4 linked regions of the Stegostoma tigrinum genome follow. The protein of the gene in region 3 binds, or shares a complex with, the protein of the main gene of each other region. Links are inferred from orthologs where the notes say so. Each region holds a gene or a part of one and is shown on either strand. Other genes may lie near its edges. The genes, in order: ercc3, polr2f, gtf2f2a and gtf2e2.

Region 1 (7,907 bases), on a different chromosome or scaffold from region 3:
AGTCCCCTGAAGCATCCCACCCAGACCCATCCCTCTAAACGCTACGGGCAATTTAGCATGGCCAATCCACCTAACCTGCATATCTTTGGACTGTGGGAAAAACCGGAGCACCCGGAGGAAACCCACGCAGGCACGGGGAGAATGTGCAAACTCCACACAGACAGTCACCAGAGGCTGGAATTGAACCAGAGTCCCCGGTGTTGTGAGGCTGCAGTGCTAACCACCGAGCCACCGTGCTGCCCCAGTTGTTCAAGAGGGCAACTCACCATCTGGGGCACCTCTCCATAAGACCATAAGACATAGGAGTGGAAGTAAGGTGATTCGGCCCATCAAGTCCACTCCGCCATTTAAATCATGGCTGATGGGCATTTCAACTCCACTTCCCTGCACTCTGCCCGTAGCCCTTGATTCCTTCTGAGATCAAGAATTTGTCGATCTCTGCCTTGAAGGCATCTAACGTCTCGGCTTCTACTGCACTCCATGGCAATGAATTTCACAAGCCCACCACTCTCTGGCTGAAGCAATGTCTCCTCATTTCAGTTTTAAATTTACCCCCTCTAATTTTAAGGCTGTGCCCACGGGTCCTAGTCTCCCCGCCTAATGGAAACAACTTCCCAGCATCTACCCTGTCTAAGCCATACATTATCTTGTAAGTTTCTATTAGAACTCGCCTCAACCTTCTAAACTCTAATGAATACAATCCCAGGATCCTTAGCCGTTCATCGTACGTTAAACGTACCATTCCAGGGATCATCCGTGCGAATCTCCGCTGGACACGCTCCAGGGCCAGTATGTCCTTCCTGACGTGTGGGGCCCAAAATTGGACACAGTATTCTAAATGGGGCCGAACTAGAGCTTTATAAAGTCGCAGATGCACATCACTGCTTTTATATTCCAACCCTCTTGAGATAAACAACAACATAACATCACATTACATTCGTTTTCTTAATCATGGACTCTACCTGCAAGTTAACTTTTAGAGAATCTTGGACCAACACTCCCAGATCCCTTTGTACTTCTGCTTTACGAATTTTCTCACCGTTTAGAAAATAGTCCATGCCTGTATTCTTTTTTCCAAAGTGCAAAACCTCACATTTGCATCTCAAGGGGCAACTACTGATGGGCAATTAACTGCTGGCCAGCCAGTAATGCCCACACCCCATGATTTTACAGTACAGAAGACTGTTTGAAACCTCCTAAGGAATCTGCCTCTCCCAAGCAGTGTATTCCAAATCCTAAACAACTGAGTAAAGAAGTTTCTCATCATCTAACTCCCAACTTTCTGGTTGACAAGTTTGAAATTGTGACCCCCTGGTTACTGGCGTACCAATAAGTTGAAACAAAATATGTTTTATTAATCACAGAATGAGGGTGTTCTTAGCCAGGCCAGCATAAATTGCCATTCCCCAATTAGCCAGCAGGCATTTAAGAATCAACCATATACTTTTTCAACTTGACAAAACTGTTCATAATTTTGAACCCCTCCATACAGTCACCTCTTAAATCTTCTCTACTCCAAGAAGAATAAGCCTAATTTCTCATTCTAGCTAAAATCCCACATTGCTGGTATCATTCTAGTAAACTTCATTTAATTCTCTATTGGGTTGTAACATCCTTCCTTAAATAAGGCACCCAGAACTGAACACAATACTCCAGGTGATCCAGAATTTCTCTCCGCAGCTTGAGCAAACTTGCTGTGAGTGAGATAATACAGTATTCCCTGACACTGTACTAGTGACGCCATCACAACTGGATATTAGGGCATCCTGTGGTCATGAAACAGTCCTTCAGTTAAAGTTAACCTATTTTGATGGGACAGCTGTGAAGGATTAGATTAGATTCCCTACAGCGTGGAAACAGGCCCTTCGGCCCAACAAGTCTACACCGCACCTCGAAGCATCCCACCCAGACCCATCCCCCTATAACCCTCACACCCCGAACACTACGGGCAATTTAGCATGGCCAATCCACCTAACCTGCACATCTTTGGATCGTGCACAGGATACCGCGTAGAAACTGCCAATTACCAAACACAACCAGCCTCACAACAATCTGGAACTCGACTGGTTCAGTAAAAGAGAACAGAGGATATCAATATCAAATCTGGTACTGTTCACACACATAAAACAAAGATAGATGCGCACTTATACGGCATTTATCACAACCATTGAAATGTCAGAATACTCTACAGTCAATTAAGGACTTTTTGAAATGACGTTACTGTTGCAATGAAGGAAACATAACCTATAAACAGCAAAAGTACAACAGCTAGACAATCTGTTTTTGCAATGTTGGCTGAGGGATAAATATCAGCTAGCACAACAGGGTGTTGTGTGGGGGGGGTGCGCGTGCGGTGGGGGGGTGGAGGGGGTGTGCGGTGGAGGGGTGGGGGGGTGTGCGGTGGAGGGGTGGGGGGGTGTGCGGTGGGGGGGGTGTGCGGTGGGGGGGGTGTGCGGTGGGGGGGGTGTGCGGTGGGGGGTGTGCGGTGGGGGGGTGGGGGGGGGTGTGCGGTGGGGGGGTGGGGGGGGGTGTGCGGTGGGGGGGTGGGGATGGGGATGGGTGGGGGGGGATGGGGATGGGTGGGGGGGGGGGCGGGGATGGGGATGGGGTGGGTCTGGATGGGGGGGGCGGGGATGGGGATGGGGTGGGTCTGGATGGGGGGGGCGGGGATGGGGATGGGGTGGGTCTGGATGGGGGGGGCGGGGATGGGGATGGGGTGGGTCTGGATGGGGGGGATGGGGTGGGTCTGGATGGGGGGGGCGGGGATGGGGATGGGGTGGGTCTGGATGGGGGGGGCGGGGATGGGGATGGGGTGGGTCTGGATGGGGGGGGCGGGGATGGGGATGGGTGGGGGGGGTGTTGTGTAACCGCGGGCCTTACCTCTCTCCTTCTTGCCCATCGTTCCCCGGTGTCTAGAAGCATGCGCAGATACGGCCGAGCCCAGTGCGCATGTTTGGACCCGGCGCTGGTGTGCCGGTACCGGCGCGCGTGCGCAAAGCGAAAATCCTCTCCACCCAACCATCAGTCACATGATTCCTCCAGCTCAGTGATACCAAGTGATCTGTGGTGCAGAGAGAGAAGGAACTGCAGATCCTGGAGAATCTGAGATAACAAGGTGTAGAGCTGGAGGAACACAGCAGGGTCTTGGCCCGAAGCATCAGCTTTCCTGCTCGGCCTGCTGTCTTCATTCCAGCTCCACACCTTGTTATCTTAGCAGGGAGACAGAATCCTGGTAGTCATGGGCAATACTTGCTCGACAGTTCGCACAAAAAAACGGACAGCCTCATCATTCCCATATTGACGTTTTGCAGCAACCTACCAAGTGGCACATTGACAATCAGGTCTGCTCTATTACCATCGTGGCTGCCCTCTGGCTGTAAAGTGCGTTGGGTAGAGGTGTGGTCATGAAAAGATATTGTAGAACCAAAAGTCTTTTTTAACACATCAGAATTGTAAATGTGAAATAAGGCACTAATAGAACATACAACTGCACGCACTGGATAGGCAGGTACAGTACAGGTAATGTTGCTGATTGGCTTCTATGTGAAGCTGATATCACATACCAACTCAACTATTACAAATAAAAGTCTTGCATCTTTTTTAGGATGTCATAACATCTATTTGACCCTTCATAAATCCTTCATTTCAGCAAGGAGATAATGTAGAAAAAGCACAAAATGCTGGAGTAACTCAGTAGGGCTGGCAGGACATGCGAAGAGAGAAACAGTTATTGTTTCACATCTGGTATGACTTCTTAATTGGAAACTGTTGGAAAATGTTTTATTTTTAAAACTTCTGAATTTCTCCAACATCAGTCAGAAGCTTCCATTGTCGAGGAAGATCTGCCTACTGAGTCAGTATGGGTGGAAATTAGGAACAGCAAGGGAGTAGTCACCTCGTTAGGGGTTTACTACAGGCCCCCCAATAGCAGCAGGGAGATTGTAGAAAGCATAGGTCGACAGATTTTGGAAAAGTGAGGACGCAGTAGGGTTGTTGTAATGGGTGACTTTAACTTTCCTAATATTGATTGGAACCTCCTTCGAGCAGAAGATTTGAATGGAGCTGTTTTTGTAAGGTGTGTTCAGGAGGGTTTCCTAACTCAGTACGTTGACAGGCCGACGAGGGGAGAGGCCATTCTAGACTTGGTGCTCGGAAACGAGCCGGGGCAGGTATCAGATCTTGTGGTGGGAGAGCATTTTGGTGATAGTGACCATAACACACTCTCATTCTACATAGCTATGGAGAAGGAGAGGATTAGGCAGAATGGGAGGATATTTAATTGGGGAAGAGGAAACTATGATGCGATTAGACACGAGTTAGGAAGCATGGACTGGGAGCAGTTGTTCCATGGTAAGGGAACTATAGACATGTGGAGATGGTTTAAGGAACAGTTGTTGGGAGTGATGAGTAAATATGTCCCTCTGAGACAGGCAAGACGGGGTAAGATAAAGGAACCTTGGATGACGAGAGCGGTGGAGCTTCTAGTGAAAAGGAAGAAGGTAGCTTACATAAGGTGGAGGAAGCTAGGGTCAAGTTCAGCTAGAGAGGATTACATGCAGGCAAGGAAGGAGCTCAAAAATGGTCTGAGGAGAGCCAGGAGGGGGCACGAGAAAGGCTTGGCAGAAGGAATCCGGGAAAACACAAAGGCATTTTACACTTACGTGAGGAATAAGAGAATGGTCAAAGAAAGAGTAGGGCCGATCAGGGATAGCATAGGGAACTTGTGTGTGGAGCCTGAGGAGGTAGGGGAAGCCCTAAATGAGTTTTTTGCTTCTGTCTTTACGAAAGAAACGACCTGTGTAGTGAATGAAACCTTTGAAGAGCAGGTGTGCATGCTGGAATGGATAGAGATAGAGGAAGCTGATGTACTGAAAATTTTGTCAAACATTAAGATTGACAAGTCGCCAGGCCCGGATCAGATTTGTCCTCGGCTGCTTTGGGAAGCGAGAAATGCAATTGCTTCGCCACTTGCGAAGATCTTTGCATCCTCGCTCTCCACTGGAGTCGTACCTGAGGACTGGAGAGAGGCAAATGTAATTCCTCTCTTCAAGAAAGGAAATAGGGAAATCCCCGGCAATTATAGACCGGTAAGTCTCACGTCTGTCGTCTGCAAGGTGTTAGAAAGGATTCTGAGGGATAAGATTTATGACCATCTGGAAGAGCATGGCTTGATCAAATACAGTCAACACGGCTTTGTGAGGGGTAGGTCATGCCTTACAAACCTTATCGAGTTTTTTGAGGATGTGACTAGTAAGGTTGATGAGGGTCAAGCTGTGGATGTGGTGTATATGGACTTCAGTAAGGCATTTGATAAGGTTCCCCATGGAAGGCTCATTCAGAAGGTCAGGAGGAATGGGATACAGGGGAACTTAGCTGCTTGGATACAGAATTGGCTGGCCAACAGAAGACAGCGAGTGGTAGTAGAAGGAAAATATTCTGCCTGGAAGTCAGTGGTGAGTGGGGTTCCACAGGGCTCTGTCCTTGGGCCTCTACTGTTTGTAATTTTTATTAATGACTTGGACGAGGGAATTGAAGGATGGGTCAGCAAGTTTGCAGACGACACAAAGGTCGGAGGTGTCGTTGACAGTGTAGAGGGCTGTTGTAGGCTGCAGCGGGACATTGACAGGATGCAGAGATGGGCTGAGAGGTGGCAGATGGAGTTCAACCTGGATAAATGCGAGGTGATGCATTTTGGAAGGTCGAATTTGAAAGCTGAGTACAGGATTAAGGATAGGATTCTTGGCAGCGTGGAGGAACAGAGGGATCTTGGTGTGCAGATACATAGATCCCTTAAAATGGCCACCCAAGTGGACAGGGTTGTTAAGAAAGCATATGGTGTTTTGGCTTTCATTAACAGGGGGATTGAGTTTAAGAGTCGTGAGATCTTGTTGCAGCTCTATAAAACTTTGGTTAGACCGCACTTGGAATACTGCATCCAGTTCTGGGCGCCCTATTATAGGAAAGATGTGGATGCTTTGGAGAGGGTTCAGAGGAGGTTTACCAGGATGCTGCCTGGACTGGAGGGCTTATCTTATGAAGAGAGGTTGACTGAGCTCGGTCTCTTTTCATTGGAGAAAAGGAGGAGGAGAGGGGACCTAATTGAGGTATACAAGATAATGAGAGGCATAGATAGAGTCGATAGCCAGAGACTATTTCCCAGGGCAGAAATGGCTAGCACGAGGGGTCATAGTTTTAAGCTGGTTGGTGGAAAGTATAGAGGGGATGTAAGAGGCAGGTTCTTTACGCAGAGAGTTGTGAGAGCATGGAATGCGTTGCCAGCAGCAGTTGTGGAAGCAAGGTCATTGGGGTCATTTAAGAGACTGCTGGACATGCATATGGTCACAGAAATTTGAGGGTGCATCCATGAGGATCAATGGTCGGCACAACATTGTGGGCTGAAGGGCCTGTTCTGTGCTGTACTGTTCTATGTTCTATGTTCTATGTTATCTGTTGTCCAGTGCTTTTATTCATGGTTATACTGCACTTGCCTAAGACATTGATTAACCTCAGCTAGTGTATTAGGACATTGGTGAACCTGATGGGTTTTTCCTGACAACTGGCAATGGTTTCCTGATTATCATTAGACTATTTTTTATTCCATCCTCCATGGCGCAATTTGAATGTGAGTACCCAGAACAGTACCTGGTGCTCTCTAGGGCCGAACGTCAGCTTTTGTGCTCCTGAGATGCTGCTTGGCCTGCTGTGTTCATCCAGCTTCACACTTTGTTATCTTACTCCAGGTTATTAGTCTAGCGATAATATCACTAGGCCATTGCCTTTCTTGGACTAATTGGCCTAGCGTTATTATTGCTCCCCACTTACCATGCTGAACTGTTGTTATTCCCACGTTTCAAACTAAAGTTTACTCCCTGCTTCACCTGCACAAACCTGGAGGTGTTAGTAGATGGGATGGTCATGAAAAGGGCAGTTCTTCCCCTTGAGGCTCATCACAGGATTCCAGGAGACCAAACCCAGGCAGCCTGGGGCAGCAGAACATTCTTCCAGATTTGAGCACAAGGACATAAGTAGGTAGATATTAAAGGCTTTTGAATATAATTTTCATTTACTAAGAAGTTAATCAATGTGACTAACAAATAGAACTGTACTTTGTTACATTGGTCATTTAAAATCCAAGATTATGAATTGACAAGCCCAAGTTCAGCAGTAGTAATGAAACTGTACCCAAATGGATTAGGAAATGCTCTTTAAAGCAAATTTATAAACGTACGTGTTCTTAAAAATATTGCCCAACGACTATATTTAAGCAGAAAGTTGAGGAAACAGAAACTACATTTCCCCAGGGCACGATCGACTGCCACGAGGGGTCGTAGTTTTAAGGTGTTAGGAGGAAGGTATAGAGGAGATGTCAGAGGGAGGTTCTTCACCCAGAGAGTTGTGAGCGCATGGAATAGTTTACCAGTGGTAGTCGTGGAAGCGGAGTCATTAGTGACATTTAAGCGACTGCTGGACATGCACATGGACAGCAGTGAATTGAGAATTTAGGTTAGGTTATTTTATTTTTGGATTAGGATTATTCCACGGCACAACATCGTGGGCCGAAGGGCCTGTAATGTGCTGTACTTTTCTATGTTCTAAAATGAGTTTTGGGCATTAAGCAGAAAGAGTGGAGTCGAGGAGTGGAGCGAGTAAGCCATGTCCCGCAGCAGACCAGAGCGAGCAGGCCGTGCCCCGTAACGGAACAAGCACATGACTCGATGAGCCGAATGGCCTTACTTCCACTCCAATGTCTTATGCCGAATCCCGCAGAGCGAACAGGTGATTCCCAGGAGTTGTGGTAGAGTGAGCCCTTGACTGAGAGCGGCCCGCGGAAGCAGCGTAGCCTAGTGCTCTGGGACCTGCAGGAGCGGACTGGAACTTATCACTCTGGAATTTTTCACTGTTTCAAA
Region 2 (7,366 bases), on a different chromosome or scaffold from region 3:
CAGAAACTGGCTCTGCAGCTCCTCCACCAGACAATCTGATCATCCAATTAGTCTTCATAAATTGGGTTTCAGTGTACTATTGTTTGATAAAACCTGACCCTCAGAAAAAGACAAGGTGTGGCAAAAGCCTCACTGAAACAGACGGGCTTTAATGAGCATCGTAATGGGTGAGAGACAGAGAGAAGTGAAGACAAAGACTTAGGGAGGGAATTCTTGAGCTTGGAGTCCAGGCAGCTGGAAGCACGACTGTCTTGGTAGAATGACAGAAGTCAAGAACTGGAGGTGTGCAGCGATCAAGGCGGGTTGTAGGAGCGGTGGAGCTAGAGAGCAGGGAGGAGTGAAGTCCCATGTTGGGGAGAATTGAGAGAGCTTTACTACAGATAGAGAGAGGAATATTGGTTGTTCGAGGTGCCCACCTCCTCCGCATTGTCCAGGTCATCCATTCCTTCATCTTCATCAGCATCATCGAAATCATCTCCATCAAAACTAAAATTAAAGAAAGAAAAATATTAGAAGCACAAAACAGAAGTATCAACAACTCAGCTCTGGCTGTCCAAGAGAATGTTCAATCAGCAACCTGTGAACTAAGGACTAATCCTTCACATCCCTTTTAAACCAGGCCCCACAAAATTAACTTTAAAACCCTTAGTGGTGCCTTTCCAACCCGTTCCAGCTTTACCTCTGTGCCTCCAGTTATCAAACATTAGCCCCAATCCACACGTCTTAAGAAACAGAAGCAGCCACAGACCACATGGTCCCCTAAGAGCGCTCCGAAGCATTAGCCAGTGCTACCACCGCCCCACCAGCAGCACCAGGCAGAAAGCTGCGGGCTCTCAGTCAGCGAGACGGCGGGAGGTGCTACAGGAGAGTTAAAACCAGTGGCAAGGGAAGGACACTTGGTGCAGGGGCACAGCTGAGACAGCAGGAGCCCTTTGGCACACAGAACAGGGACCCCCAGCCCGGGCACGGGGGGTGTGTTAGTATCTCAGCCCGGGCAGTGGGCGGCACTGTGGGGGGGGTGCAGTGACTCAGCCCGGGCAGTGGGGGCACTGTGGGGGGGGTGCAGTGACTCAGCCCGGGCAGTGGGGGCACTGTGGGGGGGGGGGTGCAGTGACTCAGCCCGGGCAGTGGGGGCACTGTGGGGCAGGGGGTGCAGTGAATCAGCCCGGGCAGTGGGGGCACTGTGGGGGGGTGCAGTGACTCAGCCCAGGCAGTGGGGGCACTGTGGGGTGGGGGGTGCAGTGACTCAGCCCGGGCAGTGGGGGCACTGTGGGGGGGGTGGTGCAGTGACTCAGCCCGGGCAGTGGGGGCACTGTGGGGGGGGGGTGCAGTGACTCAGCCCGGGCAGTGGGGGCACTGTGGGGGGGGGGTGCAGTGACTCAGCCCGGGCAGTGGGGGCACTGTGGGGGGGGGGGTGCAGTGACTCAGCCCGGGCAGTGGGGGCTTGTGGGGCGGGGGGTGCAGTGAATCAGCCCGGGCAGTGGGGGCACTGTGGGGGGGGTGCAGTGACTCAGCCCGGGCAGTGGGGGCACTGTGGGGTGGGGGGTGCAGTGACTCAGCCCGGGCAGTGGGGGCACTGTGGGGCGGGGGGTGCAGTGACTCAGCCCGGGCAGTGGGGGCACTGTGGGGCGGGGGGTGCAGTGACTCAGCCCGGGCAGTGGGGGCACTGTGGGGCGGGGGGGTGCAGTGACTCAGCCCGGGCAGTGGGGGGCACTGTAACGGGGGGTGCAGTGACTCAGCCCGGGCAGTGGGGGCACTGTGGGGTGGGGAGTGCAGTGACTCAGCCCCGGCAGTAGGGGGGGCACTGTGGGGCGGGGGGTGCAGTGACTCAGCCCGGGCAATGGGGGCACTGTAACGGGGAGGGTGCAGTGACTCAGCCCGGGCAGTGGGGGCACTGTGGGCCGGGGGGGGTGCAGTGACTCAGCCCGGGCAGTGGGGGGCACTGTAACGGGGGGTGCAGTCACTCAGCCCGGGCAGTGGGCGGCACTGTGAGGGGGGTGCAGTGACTCAGCCCGGCCAGTGGGGAGCACTGTGGGGCGGGGGGGGGGTGCAGTGACTCAGCCCGGGCAGCAGGCGGCACTGTAACGGGGGGGTGCAGTGACTCAGCCCGGGCAGCAGGCGGCACTGTAACAGGGGGGGTGCAGTGACTCAGCCCGGGCAGCAGGCGGCACTGTAACGGGGGGGGTGGTGCAGTGACTCAGCCCGGGCAGCGGGCGGCACTGTAACGGGGGGGGTGCAGTGACTCAGCCCTGCCAGCAGGCAGCACTGTAACAGGGGGGGGTGCAGTGACTCAGCCCGGGCAGCAGGCGGCACTGTAACGGGGGGGGTGGTGCAGTGACTCAGCCCGGGCAGCGGGCGGCACTGTAACGGGGGGTGCAGTGACTCAGCCCGGGCAGCAGGCGGCACTGTGTGGGGGTGGTGCAGTGACTCAGCCCGGGCAGCAGGCGGCACTGTGTGGGGGGGGTGCAGTGACTCAGCCCGGGCAGCAGGCGGCACTGTGTGGGGGGGTGCAGTGACTCAGCCCGGGCAGCAGGCGGCACTGTGTGGGGGGGTGCAGTGACTCAGCCCGGGCAGCAGGCGGCAGTGTGGGGGGGTGCAGTGACTCAGCCCGGGCAGCAGGCGGCAGTGTGGGGGGGGGTGCAGTGACTCAGCCCGGGCAGCAGGCGGCACTGTGTGGGGGGGTGCAGTGACTCAGCCCGGGCAGCAGGCGGCACTGTGAGCAGACCCTGTCAAGTCGCTGTCCGTTAGCCTCGCTCGATCACTTCTCGGGGCGTCTGGTAAATTGACCGGAAGAGGCCTCGTTGGAGGGCGGCAGCGGCTCCCGGGGTGAGTTGGCGGTTGTCTGCGGTCACGGGCTGTGTCCGCACCGGTGTGTGCAGCTTGTGTTGGAAACAGCGGCTCTCGCCGATCACTCACTTGTCCTCGTTGTCCGACATGATGGCGGTGGTAGTCCACACTGAGCGGCGTCAAGCAAGGTGCTTCCGGATCAAGGGTTATTGGACATGACGTCACTGCGCCTGCGCCTTATACCAATCGGAGTGCTTCGCCATGTTTGATACTGGCAGGGGGCGTTCTCCCTCATTGCCTGTAGTTCTAGTAAATACTTTCACATGAACATTGTTCTGGGCAGAGATTACACTCGTGAATTTATCTCGTATTAACAACTGTAAGGGTGTAATTTGTGATGTGAAGTGCTGGAATATAGAAGCACAACGGTTAAGCGGTTGTTTTTGACCAGCATGTACTGAGTGGCCCTAAGGGGCCTTTTCTGGAGGGTGGACCTCAGGCCTGTAGCAGCATCACAAACCATTTGGTTTAACTTCCAGACGCTTTGCGAAATGGGCCTCAGCCAAGTCCAACCCATTTCCCACAAATGCAACAGGTCATCCCTTTAAAGACAGCAGTAGCTGCCGGTGCTGGAGAATCTGAGATAACCCGGTGTGGGGCTGGACAAGCAGCAGCAGCAGCAGCAGCAGAGGAGCAGGAAGGCTGAGGGTTCGGGCCTAGGAAGAAGGGTCTGTTTTTCCTGTTTAAGATCTTGAAGACTTTTATGAGAACACCTTTTAAATTCTGGAGAAAACAGGCCTGATTTATCTAATCTCTCCTCATAACCCCTGAGGCCCAAGTACCATTCTTGTAAGATAATAAAATGTGAGGCTGGATGAACACAGCAGGCCCAGCAGCATCTCAGGAGCTTCATCTCTGATGAAGGGTCTAGGCCCGAAACGTCAGCTTTTGTGCTCCTGAGATGCTGCTTGGCCTGCTGTGTTCATCCAGCCTCACATTTTATTGTCTTGGAATTCTCCAGCATCTGCAGTTCCCATTATCTCTGATACCATTCTTGTAAACCTACATTGTACTCCCTCTAAGGCCACGGTATCCTTCCTGAGGTGTGGTGCACAGACACTGTGCTGCAAGTGGGGCTCTAACTGGGGTTTTGTATAATTTCTAGAGACTACACGTGTGCACAATATAAAGGCCAGCATTCCATTAACTTGCTTGATTATTTTCTGTACCTGTTGACAATATTTTAAAGACCCATGCACCTGAACCCATCCATTATATTTAACCTACTTTGTAGGCGTACAGGTAAATCCAGAAAGTACCCTGATCTCCGCCTCTTGCTCCCCAGAGGAGCTCGAACAGTTCATCCACTTCACCAACACCTTCCACCCCAACCTTCAGTTCACCTGGGCCATCTCCAGCACATCCCTCACCTTCCTGGATCTCTCAGTCTCCATCTCAGGCGACCAGCTTGTAACTGATGTCCATTTCAAGCCCACCGATTCCCACAGCTACCGAGAATACACCTCCTCCCACCCACCCTCCTGCAAAAATTCCATCCCCTGTTCCCAATTCCTCCGCCTCTGCCGCATCTGCTCCCAGGATGAGGCATTCCACTCCCGCACATCCCAGATGTCCACATTCTTCCAGGACCGCAACTTTCCCCCCCACAGTGATCGAGAACGCCCTCGACCGTGTCTCCTGCATTTCCCACAACACATCCCTCGCACCCCGCCCCCGCCACAACCGCCCAAAGAGGATGCCCCTCGTTCTCACACACCTCCCCACCAACCTCCGGATACAACACATCATCCTCCGACACTTCCGCCATCTACAATCCAACCCCACCACCCAAGACATTTTTCCATCCCCACCCCTGTCTGCTTTCCGGAGAGACCACTCTCTCCATGACTCCCTTGTTCGCTCCACACTGCCCTCCAACCCCACCACACCCGGCACCTTCCCCTGCAACCGCAGGAAGTGCTACACTTGCCCCCACACCTCCTCCCTCACCCCTATCCCAGGCCCCAAGATGACTTTCCATATTAAGCAGAGGTTCACCTGCACATCTGCCAATGTGGTATACTGCATCCACTGTACCCGGTGCGGCTTCCTCTACATTGGGGAAACCAAGCGGAGGCTGGGGGACCGCTTTGCAGAACACCTCCGCTCAGTTCGCAATAAACAACTGCATCTCCCAGTCACGAACCATTTCAACTCCCCCTCCCATTCTTTAGATGACATGTCCATCGTGGGCCTCCTGCAGTGCCACAATGATGCCACCCAAAGGTTGGGAACAGCAACTCATATTGCGCTTGGGAACCCTGCAGCCCAATGGTATCAATGTGGACTTCACCAGCTTCAAAATCTCCCCTTCCCCCACCGCATCCCAAAACCAGCCCAATTCGTCCCCTCCCCCCACTGCATCACACAACCAGCCCAGCTCTTCCCCACCCCCCACTGCATCCCAAAACCAGTCCAACCTGTCTCTGCCTCCCTAACCTGTTCTTCCTCTCACCCATCCCTTCCTCCCACCCCAAGCCGCACCTCCATCTCCTACCTACTAACCTCATCCCACCTCCTTGACCTGTCCGTCTTCCCTGGACTGACCTATCTCCTCCCTACCTCCCCACCTATACTCTCCTCTCCATCTTTGGTCCGCCTCCCCCTCTCTCCCTATTTATTCCAGAACCCTCACCCCATCCCCCTCTCTGATGAAGGGTCTAGGCCCGAAACGTCAGCTTTTGTGCTCCTGAGATGCTGCTTGGCCTGCTGTGTTCATCCAGCCTCACATTTCATTATCTTGGATTCTCCAGCATCTGCAGTTCCCATTATCTCAAGTACCATGATCTATTCTTTTGAGTCCAAAAAATGGATAACCTCATCCTTGCTTCTTTTGAACTCCATCTGCCACAATTTTGCCCATACATTTTAATTTAACAATATCCTTTTGAAGTTGATAGCACAAAATTACAATGCTGCCTAACTTTGCATCACCAGCAAAGTTGGATATATGATTTTGTATGCCACAACTGAGTTGTTAATAAATCTGATTAATTGAGGCCCAAACACAGATCCTTGTGGGACACCACTGTCACATCGTGTCAGTTTGATTGCCCACCCATCATCCTGACGGTCTGTTGCCTGCCACTCAAATGGTTTCTGAGCTGTCAGTGTTTTGCTGCAAGTCCCGTGGAAACTTCTTTCAAATGCCTTCCGGAATTCCACGTAAACAACATCCAGAGACATTCCTGTGTCCACTACCTTCCATTAACACTCCAGGGTTTCCCCCTCTGATCCATGCTTGAATGGGAAGCAAAAGCCAAAGTACTGTGGATGCTTGAGGTCAGCAACAGAAATTGCTGGAAAAACTCAACAAGTCTGGCACCATCTGCTTTCTCTGCACAGATGCTGTTGGACCTGCTGAGTTTTTCCAGCAACTTGTCACTTCTGGAAGGACTGACTGACTTAGTTACTACTTTTATGGGGAGTTTATAGAAAGTAATCCAAACCTATATTTGATAGAAATTATAGATAGGCTATAAATATTGGCCAATCAGTTACACCCATGTCCCATGAGTGAATTTTAAAAAATAATATCACATCTGCTCACTCCTCCAACTTGTTGATATCCTTTTGGAGTTCCACATGACCCTTACATAATTTGCAAATCGCCCAAGTTTGATTCATTTGCAAACTTTGAAAATGTGCCTTGAAAACCCACATATAATCATAAATATATAACGGGAGAAACTAGGGTCCCAATATCGATCCAAAATAAAACAAAGAACTCTGGCTGCTAGAAATGCCAAACACAGGAGGAACTCAGCAAGTCTTGCAGCATCTGTATAGAGAAAAGTAATGTTGTTAATATTTTGAGTCCACTAACATTTTGTCAGAGCTGAAAATAGCTGGGTAATTATATTGATGATAGGCATGGGATTGGATGATACGGGGAAGAGAACAGAAAACAGTGAGTCCGGTGCCCAAAGACACACAAAGCCAATTGCTGATTGAGAGAATTAATAGCTAGACTGGGTGCTAAAGAGTAAATGTTTGAAAATAGGTTGGCTGTGCTTGGAGCAGTCCATACAATCCAGATCACTTCGATGGGATTGTACAAGAGGCCCGCAGTAGCGAGAGAGAAATTGAGAAACAACTATGCAGGGAGATCTCAGGTAATTGTAAGCATAATAAAGTTGTAATAATGGGGGGATTCTAATTTTCCAAACATTGACTGGGAATGCCATACAGTGAAAGATTTGGATGAAGAATGTGTCAAATATTCAAGAAAATTTTCTTTCTCAATATGTGTATGGGGATTCTGGAACTAGGGGACATGGTCTGACCCTAATTCTCAGCCTATCCAGGAGAAATGTTATGAAACGCGTCTACACACACCGGGAGAGAGGGGTTTGGAGCACTCTGGATCAGTTACTTGATCTTAATCTTAGATTTTTATTAACAAAGGTATTAACGGATACAGGCTAAAAGACAGGTCTACGGAGTTAGGCCACAGATCGGCCATGCAGAACAGGCTCAAGGGGCTGAATGACCTACTCCTGTTCCTGCATAAAACTTA
Region 3 (7,940 bases):
TCAAAGTTCAAGATATTTCATGTCTCCAGTAAACCCTTTAGATACTATTTTGTATTTGTAGCCCCCTATTTCACACTCTCCCATAAGTGTTACACATCCTCTTCACACGTATCCTGTCTAACCCACTCATTCTGAAGACCTTAATGAGGTCACCTATAAGTCTTATTTTCAAAAGAAAAAGAAAAACCCAGTCAGTTTAATCTGAAAAGGAAATCTTCTCAATCTGATGTCAGAACATCAAACAACAATATAATGCAGGAAGCAAATTCTACATTTAGCTTTACATTCCATTTAAGCCTGCAAATAAAACTGTCAGGAACAATTTTTTCTAAAACGTTCAGCAATTAGTAAGAAACGATCTCCTCTCAAGATCTGACATTTAGATAGTAATGCAAAGATCTACTATTAATATTTCCAATATCATTCATGATGATCACAATGAGTCATAATGATGCTCATTTGTACCAGAAACACTTAATCAAGCCATCTACAGTATATACCAGCAGATGCTAATCCCATAGCATTACTCATGACAAGATAGGTGTCAAGTGTTGTGAAAGGGCTGAGGCATAAAATGCAAAGAACAATACTTTACAATCCAGGTTAAGTTTTAAGGTCATAAGCTTTCAGCAGTTGTTGAACAAACATTACAGGAGTTTGTTCTTAAATAGAACGGCTATTCAGGCTGTGCAGGACACTCCTGGGTTTATCCCATCATGCCACTCCACCAGGTGTAAGAGATAAATCTGCTGTTTTTGAACAGTACACAAATCTGGGGGTGACAGATAGGAGATAGCTGGCAAAAATACCTTTCAATTGTATTTCCTTCCTTGCATTCTCTTACCTCAGTTTTTCCTTGATTCCTGTTAAATAGAAAGAGGAAGCAGATTAGTTTCATGCTCACCACTTTACCATTTAAAAACCACATTTGTCAGCCTCTGACAGCTACTCTGGTGACAGAATAAAGGTCACTTACTTGGCTATCCTTATTTTTCCGACTTCACCTCTTCCTGTTGCTTTAGCCCATTGCTGAGAAAGGTATTTGGGGACCTACAGACATGTGTAATACAAACAGTTATTTACGGTAAGCATGAAGGCCAAAAATAAAACACAGTTTGCTTATGTAATAGCCAGCATTATCATTTTTGTTAATTTTTTCTGAGGAGTGATAGCTCAAAGTAGGGAATCAGATTCTCCTGCAGAGCCCAGTGCAGGTGAAAAAGTGAGCACAAGGGAGAGTGGGAAAGCTGGGCTGCACAAAAGAGAAAATAAAAATGTGTCAGTACAGGAAGTCAAACTTCAAAAACTGACCAGACGCTGCATATGGAGCTATTTCAGATTGCAAAGAGGAGCACTTTGGTAAACAAAAAAATCATATTTTATTATTTTAAAGGACATGATGAACAGGGGTAATATACCCCCAGTGATTCTTTGTGCAGAGATTCACTTTAGGACCTCAAAGAAATTGATGTCTGACATCTACACATAACATATTATGGATTTTTCTGGATTATAAAATCTGTCCAGACTGTGTCCCAACAGTCATAAGAATTTAAAATATTTGAATTAACATTTTTGATAATACAAACTCTCAATAAAGCAACTAGCTAACGACCAGGTTTTTCAATTATAATCACTGTATGAAAAACACTTCATAACTAATCAGTTAAATAACATTTAGTGCATCAAGCGTGAGTTCTATAAATTAATGCTGTACAAATAAGATGGATATGAACTGTTCAAAAGATTTTAGAATATACCAACAAGGCCTGTCATACTCTGCTTTGAACAGTGTTTTACAAAAGGAGGTGAGTAATGAAGAGACAGGGATTCTAACAGTTAGCAATGAAAGAGGGATATCCTAAGTTTTAACACATCTGTTAAACTACCCTAAGATGTGGCAGACCCAAAACAGTGGCTCCATAGCTCAGCAGCATACAGGTTGCGTTGCTGACTCACCAACACTCAGGAGAAGAGGAAATTGGAGTGCTAAGTTATTGCAGTATTGTCATGGGGTTCCTGCTTTCAATGGTATTTCAGCAAGGGTCTGCCTTTGAAGACAGAGAAGGTGAATGGGATTACCAAACTGGGCCAACTCAAAAGAAACCCGAGAGATATTTTCACAAGGACGGAGAAAAGAGTATTTGTATTTTAGGTATAGACAGTGAATACTTGAGTAAAGGAGACAGGAATGATTGGCAACCTAGCTATGTGAGGCCCTTTGAGGAAGTATGATCATAATGTTATATAGAATTCTTTACTTAGATGGAAGGTGTAGTAGGTGACTCAGATTCGGATCCTGAATCCAAATGAGGTTAGGGTGGTATGAGGTGCGAACTGGCTATGATAAATCAAGGAATGTTACTTAAAGGGATGATGGTGGATAAGCAATGGCAAATATTAAAACAGCACATGGGTGAACTGTCACAACTGTACACTCCTGTCCGGGACAAAAATAAAATGGGAAATGTGGCTCAACCATGGCTAATAAGCGAAATTAGGGATAGCATTAGATCCAAAGAAGGGGCATACAAATTAATCAAAAAAGTAGATGCGTGGATTGGGGGGAAGTTTAGATTTCAGCAAAGATGGATAGAGGGATTGATTAAGGGGGAGAATGGGGTTTGAGAGTAAGCTTGTGGGGAACATGCAAACTAAATATAAAAGCTTCTATAGGTGCATGAAGAGGAAAGGAGGTGGGAAGCCAAATGTACCCCTTACGGTCAGAAACAGGATAATTTATAATGGGAAACAAAGAGATGGCAGACCAGTTAAATACATATAGTTCTGATCTCACAAAGATGGGCACAGATAATATCCCAAAAACGTTGGGAAACTTTAGTCAAAGGGAGCAACTGAACAAAACTAGTTTTAGTAGGGAAATCGTGTTGGGGAAATTGATAGGATTAAAGGCAGATAAATCCCCAAGGCCTGATAATTTACATCCCACACAGTACTTAATGAAGTGGTCCTGGGAATAGTGGGTGCATTGATGGTCATCTTTCAAGATTGTTTAGACTCTGTGGAACAGTTTCTATATGTTAGAAGGTAGTTAACTGTGACCCTGTTAGTTTAAAAAGGCGATTGAGAGAAAACAGAGAATTATAGGCCATTAGGCTAAATATTGGTAGTGGGGAAAATACTGTTATCCTTCTAAGATTTAGAGCAGAGCAACTGGAAAACAGAGGCCAGATTGGGCAGAGTCAGCATGAATTATGAAAAGAAAATCAGTTGCTAAGGGGAAGAGTGTGGATGGGCTTACTTGGACTTTCAGAAGGCTTTCAATAGATGTACCTAAGAGATTAGCATGCAAAATGAAAGTGCGAGGGATTAAGGGTAGTTTAGATTAGAAAAGATTCCCTACAGTGCGGAAACAGGCCCTTCAGCCCAACAAGTCCATACCGCCCCTTGAAGCATCCCACCCAGACCCATTCTCCTACAACCCACACACCCCTGAACACTATGGGCAATTTAGCATCACCGATCCACCTAGCCTGCACATCTTTGGATTGTGGGAGGAAACCGGAGCACCCGGAGGAAACCCATGCAGACACGGGGAGAATGTACAAACTCCACACAGACAGTTGCCCAAGGCTGGAATTGAACCCAGGTCCCTGGCGCTATGAGGCTGCAGTGCTAGCCACTGAGCCATACTGACATGGGAATGGAGAACTGTTTGGCAGGAAACAGTCAGAATAAATGGGTGTTTTACCCAAAAAGCAGGCAGTAAGTAGGGAGGTGCTGCAACAGTCAGTGCTTGGGCCCCAGCTATTCCCAACATATATTAATACTTTAGAGAAGGGAACTAAATGTAATATCTCCAAGTTTGTAGATCACACAGGACAGGTGGGAGGGCGAGCTGTGAGGACAACACAGAGATGCTTCAGTGTGATTTGGACAAGTGGAGTGAATGGGCAAATTCAAGGCAGGTGAAGTATAATGTGGAAAAAGCGAGGGTAACATTTTGATAAACAAAAACAAGGCCGCAGATTATTATCTTAATGGTGATAGGTTGGGAAACACGAAGTTATGTTGAGACCTCAGTGTCCTAGTGCACTAACTGCTGAAGGAAAGCATGCAAACAGTGACGGCAGCACATAGTATGTTGGCCTTCATAGTGACAGGGTTTGAGTACAGGAGCAGGGATGTCCTGTTACGATTCTATATGGAGAGACCACACCGGGATCATTTTGTGGAGTTTGGGTCTCTGGCTTTGGAGGGGGTGCAATGCAAGTTTATGAGCCTATTCCTGGGATGGCAGGACTGATGCATTAAGAGAGACTGGATTGGTCAGGTTTACAAGCACTAGCAGTTTGAAGAATGAGGGGCATCTCAAAGAAACCTATAACATTCCAAGAGGAATATACAGGGTAAATGCAAGAAGGATGTTCCCAATGACCAGTGAGGTCACAGTTTAAAGATTCAGGATAGGCCATTTAGGACTGTGATGAAGGAAAATTTCTTTATTCAGAGAGTGGTGAACCTGTAGAATTCACTGCCACAAAAACTGGTGAAAGCCAAAATACTGAATGTTTTCGGGAATGAGTCAGATATGGTTCTTTTTGCTAAAGGGCTATCAAGGGATATGGGGAGAAAGCGGTTACAGGGTATGGAGTTGGATAATCAGTCATGATTCTATTGAATAGCGCAGCAGGCTCAAAGGGCTGAATGGCCTGCTCCTATTCTCTATGTTTTTAAAACACATGGCAGCATATGTGAATAATCATATATATGCATCTTCTTTACATTAAAAACAAATCGCGCTTTACATTCTTTCCAATGCGGACACAGGGGAGTGGCAGTGAAAGGTCGGTGGATATTTGTGAAAGGAATGCCCAAAGTTTCCAATGAAAATGAAGCAAGTCCAAGTGTTTTTAAATTGGGTCCTGGAAAATAAGTATTTCCTGTAACAACTGCAGTTGCATGAAAACATACTATGTGCACAAGAATGTTAATGCCGTTCTATTCCCGTCTGTTTATTCCTGAATTAGATTCAGAAAAAAAAGTTGCATCTTTCATGCAGACCTTCAACTCAAGGAACTTCAAATTCCTCACCCAGTTTTTCAATTGTTTTGTACAAGGAAAATATTACAGAGGTCAAAAATATAATACAACGTCCTAATTTTTGAGTTCTTAACATGAATAGAACCACAGATTTTCTAATTATCCATCTGCCCCCTTCTGTGATTAAAATTAAACAACTGATAGAATCAATGTGGAAATTTAGTTGGGTAGAAGAACATGCAAATTAAATTCCTATCTTACTTTCTAATCACTTGGAAAGTACTCAACAAGTACTTTGAGCAACTTGACTTGTTTACTTTCCCTGGTTTTTTTTTGATTACTGCTTTGCATTTACAGATCTTCTGAACAGACTGAATTTTATTCCTGCTCTACATACTGGTTGATTGGTACAGTGCATACCTGTTATGAATGCAAAATTGGAGCTAGTGAAGATGAAGTGTGACTCAGAAATGAGAAAGGAGGTTACCAAGTGTGACTGGTAAGAGCATGCACAGCAACAATAATTATGCAGCACCTTTCTGTACCCTCATCAACAAGAGAGACGTCTCCATGCCGGCGCTGCTTCACGCTGATATGATTGTTTGCAACTATGGCATCCTGGTCAGAGCTGAGTAAACCTCAAATTGAATTACCTGCCTCTTTCTCTACTGCAGCCCATATGGCACTTCTTTCTCAATTTTTCCCTCCAGCCTCAATGAGCCGCAAAGTTCTCCTCTTTGACTTACATCCTCCAAAAATCACTCTGTATAAGAAAAACAAATGCCCCTCATGCCCTTTTTAAATTTTTCTCCTCTCACCTTAAGAATACGCCTCTTAGTTTTCAACTCCTAGGGCAAGGAATTTTGCTATTCACCTTATGTATGCCCCTCATTATTTTATAAACCTCTAAGGTCGCCTCTCAGCCACCTACACTCCAGAGAAAAAAAGTCCCAGCCTATTTTTATAACTCAAACCCTCCATTCCCACCAACATCCTGGTACTTTTTTTTCTGAACACTCTCCAATTTAATATCCTTCCTGAAGCAGGGTGACCAGAACTGTACTCCAGAAAAAGGCCTCTCCAACATCCCATACAATCACAAAATGACGCCCCAAATCCTATACTCAAAGATCTAACCACGAAGGCAAGCGTGCCAAATGCCTTCTTTAGCATCCAGTCTACCTGTGATGCCAAATTCAACCTGAACCTCTAGGTCTCTCTATTCGACAACACTTCCCAAGGGGCTACTTTTAATAGTATAAGTCCTGCTCTTTTTTGTTTTACTAAAAAGGCAACACCTCACATTTATCCGAATTAAACTCCACCTGCCACCTCTCAGCCCACTGACCCAATCAATCAAGATCTCTTGGTAATCTTAGATACCCTTCCTTACCGCCCACTAAGCCATTAATTTTGGTGTCATCCTCAAACTTAATCGCAATATCTTCTATATTCTCATCACAGGTACCATATTTCTTAAATTGTAAAACTAATATTTGTTTGGCAAGGGACAGGATAAACAGAGTGTGTAAGAGACTTACAGTTATCTGGAACTCTCTCTCCCAGGGTCTCCTCCAGAACGTTCAACTGGGGCATCATTCAGGACAACCTTAATGTCACACCAAGTTCTACTCACTATCTCTACTCACCTACATTGGCTACTGGTCACAATGCTTTAGATTTTAAATGCTCATTTCTAAAATCTTCCATAACCTTTGGTTCCCCCTAGCTCTAAACTCCTCCATTCCTATCACCCACTTCTCTTGCCTGCTGTACATCCACTTCTCTCTCTCTGCAGGCACCAGTACTTGTCACTTCTGAGTATAGGAGTTAGGAACGTCATGCTGAGGTCGTACAGCACATTGGTGAGGTCTCTTCTGGAGTTCTGTGTCCAGTTCTGGTCGCCTTGTTATAGGAAAGATATTATTAAGCTGGAAAGGGTTCAGAAAAGATTTACCAGCATGTTACCAGGAATGGAGGGTTTAAGTTTTGGGGAGAGGCTCACGTATTTATCCAAACGTCTTTTAAAGGTTGTAACTGTACCCATATCTACCACTTCCTCTGGAAGTTCATTCCACATAGGAACCACTCTCTGTGTAAACAAAATGTTGGCCCTCATGTCCTTTTTAAACCTTTCTCCTCTCACCTTAAAAATATGCCCACTAGCCTTGTAATCCCCCACCCTGGGGAAAAGACACCTCCCATTCACTGGACTTTTTCCACTGGAGTGTAGAAGGCTGAGGGGTGACCCTATGAAGGTTTATAAAATCATATGAGGTATAGATAAGGTGAATGGGAGATGTCTTTTCCCCAGGGTGGGGGATTTCAAGGCTAGGGGGCATATTTTTAAGGTAAGAGGAGAAAGGATTAAAAAGGACATGAGGGCCAACATTTTGTTTACACAGAGAGTGGTTCCTATGTGGAATTAACTTCCAGAGGAAGTGGTAGATACGGGTAGTTACAACATTTAAAAGGCATTTGGATAAATACATGAATAAGAAATCCATGGAGGGATGTGAGCCAGGCACCGGCAGGTGGGACTAGTTTAGTTTGGGATTATGGTCAGCCTGGAATGGTTGGGCCAAAGCGTCTGTTTCTGTGCTGTATGACCCTATGGTATCTAAATTGCTCTTTACAAGTCATTGATCCTCACTCCTCTCACCACCTCCTCCTCAAACTTAGTATCTATTTGTTTTCCATCGCTTTGAGGGATACCTTGTGATATTCCCAATATAAATGAAAGCTGTTGCAAGTGATCCACAGCACAAATTACATAACTTGACTATGATACTTTGTAACAAAAATTGTTTCAAGTGGTGTGGCCAGGGATGAAAGAAACTACATAAATTTATAATAAATAAATAAATAACTAGATGCTGAATTATGTAAAGACATAGGTTTATATATTGGCAAACAACATAGTAATGACTAAAAAG
Region 4 (7,510 bases), on a different chromosome or scaffold from region 3:
GAAGGTACGTGACAGGATAGTCACTGTGTGATTGTTTCCCCTGGCTGCTTTCCCAGCCACCATCAGTTCTGAGGATGGGTCACCAGACCCGAAACGGTAACTCTGTTTTCTCCTCCACAGATCCCGCCAGACCTGCTGAGCTTTTCTAGCAACTTCTTTTGTTCTTGATTTACAGCATCCGCAGTTCTTTTGGTTCTTAAAATGACTGAAGAGTCTCGGCAGGGTGGGTATAGAAAGGATATTCCTGCTGTGGGAGAATGCAGCACTAACAGCCACTCTTTAAAAGAGGTCACCCTTTTAAAACAGATGAGGAAAAATGTTTGGTCTGAAAGTGGTGACTCTTCAGAATTCTTCCTCAAAAGATGGTGGAATATTTTCGAGGCATAGGTAGAATTTTGATAATCAAGAGTTGAAAGATTATTGGGAGTGGGTGGGAGTGTGGAATAATCAAATCAACCATGATCTTATTGAATGGTGGAGAAGGCTTTAGGTCCCAAGTAGTCCACAGCTCCTAATGTTTATACCTGTATGTTCATACGACTCATGAGTCCTCATGCATCTCATACAAGAGAATCAACTGTGGACTCAAGAGTCCTTATCTGAGTCCTGGAAAGGAGAATCATCTATGATCACATCTTTTGAAGAACTGAGAAATGATCTCGCCTATTCCCCTGGCTTGCTGCAGCTCACCATGCACAAATTCCATCTCAGAAATATTCTCTAGGATGCATGCTGTGCCATGATCTGAGCTAGTGATGCATAAATCAGATCAAATGATGAGGCTTCTCAGAGGTCTGTTGCAGCTTTTGCTTTTCTTATGAGACTGCTGTGGTCGCTAGCTAGTAATGCCAATGGTATCTGAAGCAGACAATTAGAAGGAAGGAATAATGTGAGGAATGGAGTGGAAAGAAGGCATCCATTGTCATACAGCAGCCTGGATGCATTTCATGTTAGATATCAGGATGTAGTTGAGATAAGATTAAAAAAGGATCACAAAGAGGAACTTATCATTATCCTGAACATTCGCAGTGCTGCCAAATGCGACAATATGCCACAACCAACCCCACAACCAGATGCTGAGAAAATAGTACTCCAGTGGGATAATGTGATGCAAATGCGTCTGTCTCCTTCCAGTTCTGCTCTGCTCCCTGCAGTCATGAGCTGGCCACTTTTACCTGCCTGCCATATAAACATAGCAAATTTTCAGCACAGAAGACAACCATTGACCCAGTGCGTCTGTGCTTGCTATAAGAAACCATTAGGCCTAATCTTTATTGTAGTTCTTGGTTATGGCTCATCAAGTGCATGTCCAGTTACTAAAAAAAAAACTTCATTTCCACTTTTTTTTTCTGTAAACTCTGCTTATTGATCCTTCTGCTGGAAAGCCCTTTATGATTTTATATGCCTTGACAAATGTTCTCCTTAACCCTTTCTACTCTAAAACCAATTCCAATTTCTCTAATCTTTCTATCAAACTGAAGTCCCTAACTCCTGGTATGTTTGTATGAATATCGTCATATCCTCTCCAAGACCTGGACAAAGTGTTATTGCTCAGAAGCAATAAGATCAGCAGGACTGTCAATGTGCAGAATCGCAGGAAATGGGGGAAATACTGAACGAGTATTTTATATTAGTGTTTACTGAGGAGAAGGATATGGAAGATATAGAACGTGGGGAAATAGGTAGCAATATCTTGAAAGACATCCATATTGCACAGGTGATGGTGCTGGATGTCTTAAAGCGCATAAAGTTGGATATCCCCGGGACCTATTCAGGTGTACCGTAGAACTCTGTGGGAAGCTAGGGAAGTGATTGCTGAGATATTTGTATCATCGATAGCCAGAGGTAAGGCGCCAGAAGACTGGAAGCTGGCTAATGTGGTGCCACTATTTTAAGAGTATTGGTAAAGGAAAAGGCAGGGAACTATAGACTGCTGAACCTGACATCAGTGGTGGGCAAGTTGTTGGAGGGAATCCTGAGGGATGGGATTTACATGTATTTGGAAAGGCAAGGATGATTAGGGGTCGTCAACATGGCTTTGTGCATGGGAAATCATTTCTCACTAACTTGATTGAGTGTTTTTGAAGAAGTAACAAAGAGGATTGATGAGGGCAGAGCAGTGGACGTGATCTCTTCGGACTTCAGTAAGGCATTCAACAAGGTTCCTAGTTAGGAAGGTCAGATCACACAGAATACAGGGAGATCTAGCCATTTGGATACAGAACTGGCTCAAAGGTCGAAGACAGGGGGTGGTGGTGGGAGGTTGCTTTTCAGACTGGAGGCCTGTGACCAGTGGTATGCCACAAGGATCAGTGCTGGGTCCACTGCTTTTTGTCATTTTTCTAAATGATTTGGATGTGAACAGAGGAGGTGTGGTTTGTAAGTTTGCAGATGACACCAAACTTGTAAATGTAGTGGACAGCAAAGTTGGTCACCTCACGGTACAATAGGATCTTGATCAGCTGGGCAGAGGAGTGGCAGATGGGAGTCTAATTTACATAAATGCAAGGTGCTGCATTTTGGAAAAGCATATCAGTACAGAACTTATACACTTATTGGTAAGGTCCTGGGGAGTGTTGCTAAACAAACAGACCTTGAAGTGCAAGTTCATAGTTCCTTGAAAGTGAAGTTGCAGGTAGATAGAATGCTGAAGAAGGCATTTGCTATGCTTGCCTTTAATGGGCAGTGTTTTGAGTATAGGAGTCATGTTGCAGCTGTACAGGACATTGGTTAGGCCACTTTTGGAATACTGCGTGCAGTCTGGTCACCCTGCTGTAGGAAGGATGTTGTGAAACTTGAAACAGTTCAGAAAAGATTTACTAGGATGTTGCCAGGATTGGAAGGTTTGAGCTACAGGAAGAGGCTGAGGCTATTTTCCCTAGAGTGTCGAAGGCTGAGGTCTGACCTTATAGAGGTTTATAAAATCATCAGAGCATGGATAGAGTAAATAATCAAGGTCTTCTCCCCAGGGTGGGGAGTCAAAAGCTAAAGGGCATAGGTTTGACATGAGAGGGGAAAGATTTAAAATGGAACTAAGGGGCAACTTTTTTCACACAGAGGGTGGTGCTTGTATGGAATGAGCTGCCAGAGGACGTGATGGAGGCTGGTACAATTACAACATTTAAAAGGCATCTGGATGGATAAATGACTAAGAAGGGTTTAGTGGGATATGGGCCAAATGCTGACAAATGAGACTAGATTTATTTAGGGTATGTGGTTGGCATGGATGAGTTGCACCGAAGGGTCTGTTTCTGTGCCGTACATCTCCAATTGAACAAAATACTCCACCTGATGTGTACCTAGTGATTTATAATTGTTTAGCATACCTTTCTTGCTTTTGTACTGTATGCCTTGATGTACAGAACGAAGTTTAAAAAAACCTATTTTCAACAGCCTCATCAGCTTCTCCGACTACCAAAATTCATCTGTATTAACCCAAGATTTCTCTGTTCCCTTTAACATATCACAACTTAGTTTATTGCCAGAAATTACTTCAAGCTTATTGTGTTAAAATACACCTGCAATGTGTTTACCCAGTTAATTGATCTGATTTCCTCAAATCTGTTACCATCTACCTCACCGGGTTACCACCTTTGAAGTTTATTATCTACCAGCATCAAACTTATTTCTAAATTATCACTAATGATATTAAAAATGACAATAAAAATCTCGCAGGTGATCATTACCCTTCAGTGAGAAAAGCAAAATATCACAAAGGCCACCACGCTAGTTTTGTGCTGGGATAGGGACTCACATGTCAGTTGGATAGAATAAGGTGTCCTTCAACAGTCAAAGGGCTGCTAATGTAGCTAAAGGAGCGAGGAGATACCTAAAGGACAGGGGTTCTCCAGCACTTTTAAAAACTTGCAACTTAAAAATGGCCCCAGTGGTAAATGGTCAACCTTCTGCAGGCTAGCTAGCAGGCAAATGGAAATCATGGATGGAAAAACCTACCTGAACTGACTTTGATAAGCTTCCCCTTCTCTGACAACTTCAAAGGGGGGAAAATTCCAGTCGTCGTGGAAGTGAGGTATCCTACCCTGACATCCAACAAAGTGAAGAGCTGTGCCGGCCTGCCAGCCTTCCCGCGGATTTTAAGAATTAAAAAAAACACCCTTGAAAACTCTCTTTTAAACGATGGTGCGAAACACATGCATTTCCTATTTTTTACAAAAACGGCAGTTGCTGGAAAAGCTCAGCAGGTCTGGCAGCATCTGTGAAGGAAAAAACAGTTAACGCTTCAGGTCCGGTGATTCTATTTTACAATCACCGTTACCCTCTCCTTTCTGCCCCTTCATCAATATCAGATTCACGCTAAGGCTCCTTCAACTTCATCGGCTTCAAAGTGAATTTATTTTTTGAATCCAAAGCTTTCCATTTTGACCATAGTGCTAAGTCAGTTGATACCCGGACTGACCAAGACTCTCGGTAACTGTAACCGGTGAATGCAGCTGCTTGTCTTCCAGCAACCAGTGACGACAAGGGGGCGGGGTTTGTCACCAGACGTAACCAATCAAGTGCGAACGGCGGTTAGATCGATGACATCGGTGATCACAGGGTTGCTTGGAGACGGAGTCCTACATTGTCGGTGGCCTTGGTTTGGGGTGCTGGTAAGTTTTATGAGCTTACAGCCGGTTTACCCAGAACTCTGTAGAGTGATCAGTAGTTATTTTGCTCCCGTTGTTTGGATGTTTATTGAGAGTCGAGTACTGATGGCTGACTGTCCTTTTCGCCGAATTTCTACTCAAGGCACCGTGGGCCCGGGGAACTCCTGAAACTTATGACTTATTCTTACAGCAGAAGGCAGAAACGATTAGTTTAGAGTCAGGGGGACTGGAGAGGATGTTGAGAATTTGGTGGGATATCGTACAGATTGAAAAAGGCACTTGAGAAAGACTTAACAGGAGATTAGTGAAATACAGAATGTGGAGTTGAACTCTGGCCTCCTTTCACGAAAATGGCTATAGATTGGGAGAAAGCTGAAAGAATGTAGGCCGTTTGTTTTTGTACATTTTATGCAAATAATGACATTGGGCTGACTGTTACGTCGTTTTTGCCGGTTTGCATCTAGTTTTTTTTTAGGTTTTGTCCCCTGCCTTTATGGGATCCGTCTCGTCCGATTCCGACCACGTTTACCACATGCCGTTCCGGGAACAAGCCGCCACTCAGCGGATGTCACAGAATTCTCGGCATCCCATGTGCTCCATCACTTTTTAAAAGCCAGACGTATACCTGAACAAGCACTCGGTGTCGAGGTGACCTGTTGAAATATGGCACATAGAGGGAAACTGGCATCCCACGTTGTGATCAGGGACTTGAGGTCCTGCTGGGCTTCCACTTCCCCCAAATCTCCACCCAACTGCAACACCTAACTGTGCCATGATGTCTAAGGTTGCCACCTGGGTTAGAGCTGTCTCAGCTGACAGCAAGAATATCTAGCACTGCATGAAGAACATCAAAGTCCTTTGCCATTCTGCTCGAGTAAGTCCCACCATACTCTGTCCAATACTGCCTTTGCTGCTGTATCCATTCCACATCAAGCCTAATGCAGTAGTAATTTCACTATTGCCTGCAACATCTACCCCACTCACCCTCATATGCCCCAACAACCCAACACCATCAGCCATGTATGCATTTGTGCTGTCTACCTACACTCTCACTTAGCACGTGTTCCCACTTGTGGCAACAGTAAAGCTGTGCCATCACTGTTGTCTCCCATAATACTTGCCTTTCTCTCAATCCATGAGAAGTAAAGCCCACAGTAGGACAGAAAGACTTGAGGTGAGTGGTGGGTTGCTTGACATTTGGCTCCTCATCCTTTATGAGAAGAGAAACCTGACTCAACCTCCCTGATCAAAGTCTGGACTGATATTGGAGGCCACCATTGAATTACTGAGCCAAAAACTCCAAGTGAAGGCTATCCCTCTCTTGACTGAGGTCTGCTGACAAATGACACCCTTCCTAGCTTTATGTCTGCTAAATGACAATGGCAAGAAATCAGTACTAAGACTGGTATCTGGCTGAGGAATGGGATTGAAAAAGACAAGGCAGGGATCCTGCAAACGTCTACGTAGACTGAGTGTTGGAGCAGTGGTTAAGAGCAAGTGGTGAACTGATTCAACCAGATGCTCACTCTGGTTTCCTTGTCAAGCTTTCCAGATGTCAAACTTATTTGGTGACTTTGGGAAGATGAGAGGCTGTTTGTTGATGAGGTGAGTTGGGCTTTTAACCAGGTATTTAACAAGCTAGAGGAAGAATGTTATTAAACTGGAAAGGGTGCAAAAAAGATCCTTTCTGAGACTGAAAGGTTTGAATTAAGATAGGCTGGGACACTTTTCCGCTGGAGCATAGGAGGCTGAGCTATGACCTTATAGAGGTTTACAAAATCGTGAGGGACATATATAAGGTGAATAGCTTAAGTCTTTTTCGGAGTGTAGGAGATTCCAACACTAGAGGACATAGGTTTAAGGTGAGAGAGGAAAGATATTAAAAGAACCTGAGAGGTAACTTTTTCCCACAAGAGGGTGGTGCATGTATAGAATCAGCTGTTCGCAGAAGTGGTAGAGGCAGGAACAGTTACAACATTTAAAAGACATTTGGACAGATACAAGGATAGGAAAGCTTTAGAATGATATGGGCCATATGCAGGCAAGTAGGACTAGTTCAGTTCAGAAAACTTATTCAGCATGGATGCTTTGGGCCGAAGGGCCTGTTTCTGCATGTATGCCTCTGACTCTGAGTCTAAGCATTAATTATGGCTAATTGGCACCTCACCAGTACCAGGAAAGGATCTTGCCATGCTGATTTTTGAAGAGCATAAGAGATGCTGAGAGTTGTTCCCAACATCAAGATGAGACTCACCACTTGTAGTGCGATTCTGCACACATCTCACCATAGACCATGTTGCTTGGATCTCTACAAGTTGACGCACACAGTTCCTGGTTATATGATCGTATATAACTGCACAGACAGTTATTAAAGGATATGATGTAATTGGGTTCACAGAGACCTAGATCCAGGGTGACCAAGGATAGGAATTCAATATCCAGGGGTATTCAATTTTCAGGAAAGATAGATGGAAAGAAAAGAGAGGTGGGGTAAGGAGTAAATTAACACAATAGTAAGGATGTTTTAAAAAAAATAAGGAGGGATGTAAAAGAGGTGGGAGAGTGGCATTGCTAATCAGGGATGGTATCACAGCTGCAGAAAAGGAGGCCGTGGAGGAGGCTTTGTCCACTGAGTCAGTGTCGGTGGACGTCAGAAACAGGAAAGCAGCAGTCACTTTATTGGGAGTTTTCTATAGAGCCCCCGATAGCAACAGAGACACTGAGGAACAGATTGGGAGACAGATTTTGGGAAGGTGTAGAAGTAATAGGGTTGTTGTCATGGGTGACTTCAACTTCTCTAATATAGACTGGAACCTCCTTAGTGCAGAATTTATCAGGTGTGTCCAGGAAGGATTTCTAGCTCAGTATGTATATAGGTCAACTAGAGGGAGAGCCAAAATGGA

Evidence for each region.
Region 1: gtf2f2a (region 3) and ercc3 share a complex: the UniProt entries of both Homo sapiens proteins name them as parts of the TBP-based Pol II pre-initiation complex. The link is inferred for Stegostoma tigrinum from reciprocal best matches to the Homo sapiens genes GTF2F2 and ERCC3.
Region 2: gtf2f2a (region 3) and polr2f share a complex: the UniProt entries of both Homo sapiens proteins name them as parts of the TBP-based Pol II pre-initiation complex. The link is inferred for Stegostoma tigrinum from reciprocal best matches to the Homo sapiens genes GTF2F2 and POLR2F.
Region 4: gtf2f2a (region 3) and gtf2e2 share a complex: the UniProt entries of both Homo sapiens proteins name them as parts of the TBP-based Pol II pre-initiation complex. The link is inferred for Stegostoma tigrinum from reciprocal best matches to the Homo sapiens genes GTF2F2 and GTF2E2.

What each region holds. Positions count from the first base shown.
Region 1 is NC_081360.1:103,816,806-103,824,712, forward strand, and holds the start of ercc3 (general transcription and DNA repair factor IIH helicase subunit XPB), read right to left. Parts: upstream 3,001-7,907; 5' UTR 2,900-3,000; coding exon 2,881-2,899; intron 1-2,880. UniProt on the Homo sapiens protein: ATP-dependent 3'-5' DNA helicase/translocase. Binds dsDNA rather than ssDNA, unzipping it in a translocase rather than classical helicase activity. Component of the general transcription and DNA repair factor IIH (TFIIH) core complex.
Region 2 is NC_081391.1:23,912,422-23,919,787, forward strand, and holds the start of polr2f (DNA-directed RNA polymerases I, II, and III subunit RPABC2), read right to left. Parts: upstream 3,008-7,366; 5' UTR 2,937-3,007; coding exon 2,917-2,936; intron 487-2,916; coding exon 417-486; intron 1-416. UniProt on the Homo sapiens protein: DNA-dependent RNA polymerase catalyzes the transcription of DNA into RNA using the four ribonucleoside triphosphates as substrates.
Region 3 is NC_081365.1:74,518,667-74,526,606, forward strand, and holds the start of gtf2f2a (general transcription factor IIF subunit 2), read right to left. Parts: upstream 3,001-7,940; coding exon 2,944-3,000; intron 1,051-2,943; coding exon 977-1,050; intron 864-976; coding exon 845-863; intron 1-844. UniProt on the Homo sapiens protein: TFIIF is a general transcription initiation factor that binds to RNA polymerase II and helps to recruit it to the initiation complex in collaboration with TFIIB.
Region 4 is NC_081354.1:37,467,418-37,474,927, forward strand, and holds the start of gtf2e2 (transcription initiation factor IIE subunit beta), read left to right. Parts: upstream 1-4,509; 5' UTR 4,510-4,610; intron 4,611-7,510. UniProt on the Homo sapiens protein: Recruits TFIIH to the initiation complex and stimulates the RNA polymerase II C-terminal domain kinase and DNA-dependent ATPase activities of TFIIH. Both TFIIH and TFIIE are required for promoter clearance by RNA polymerase.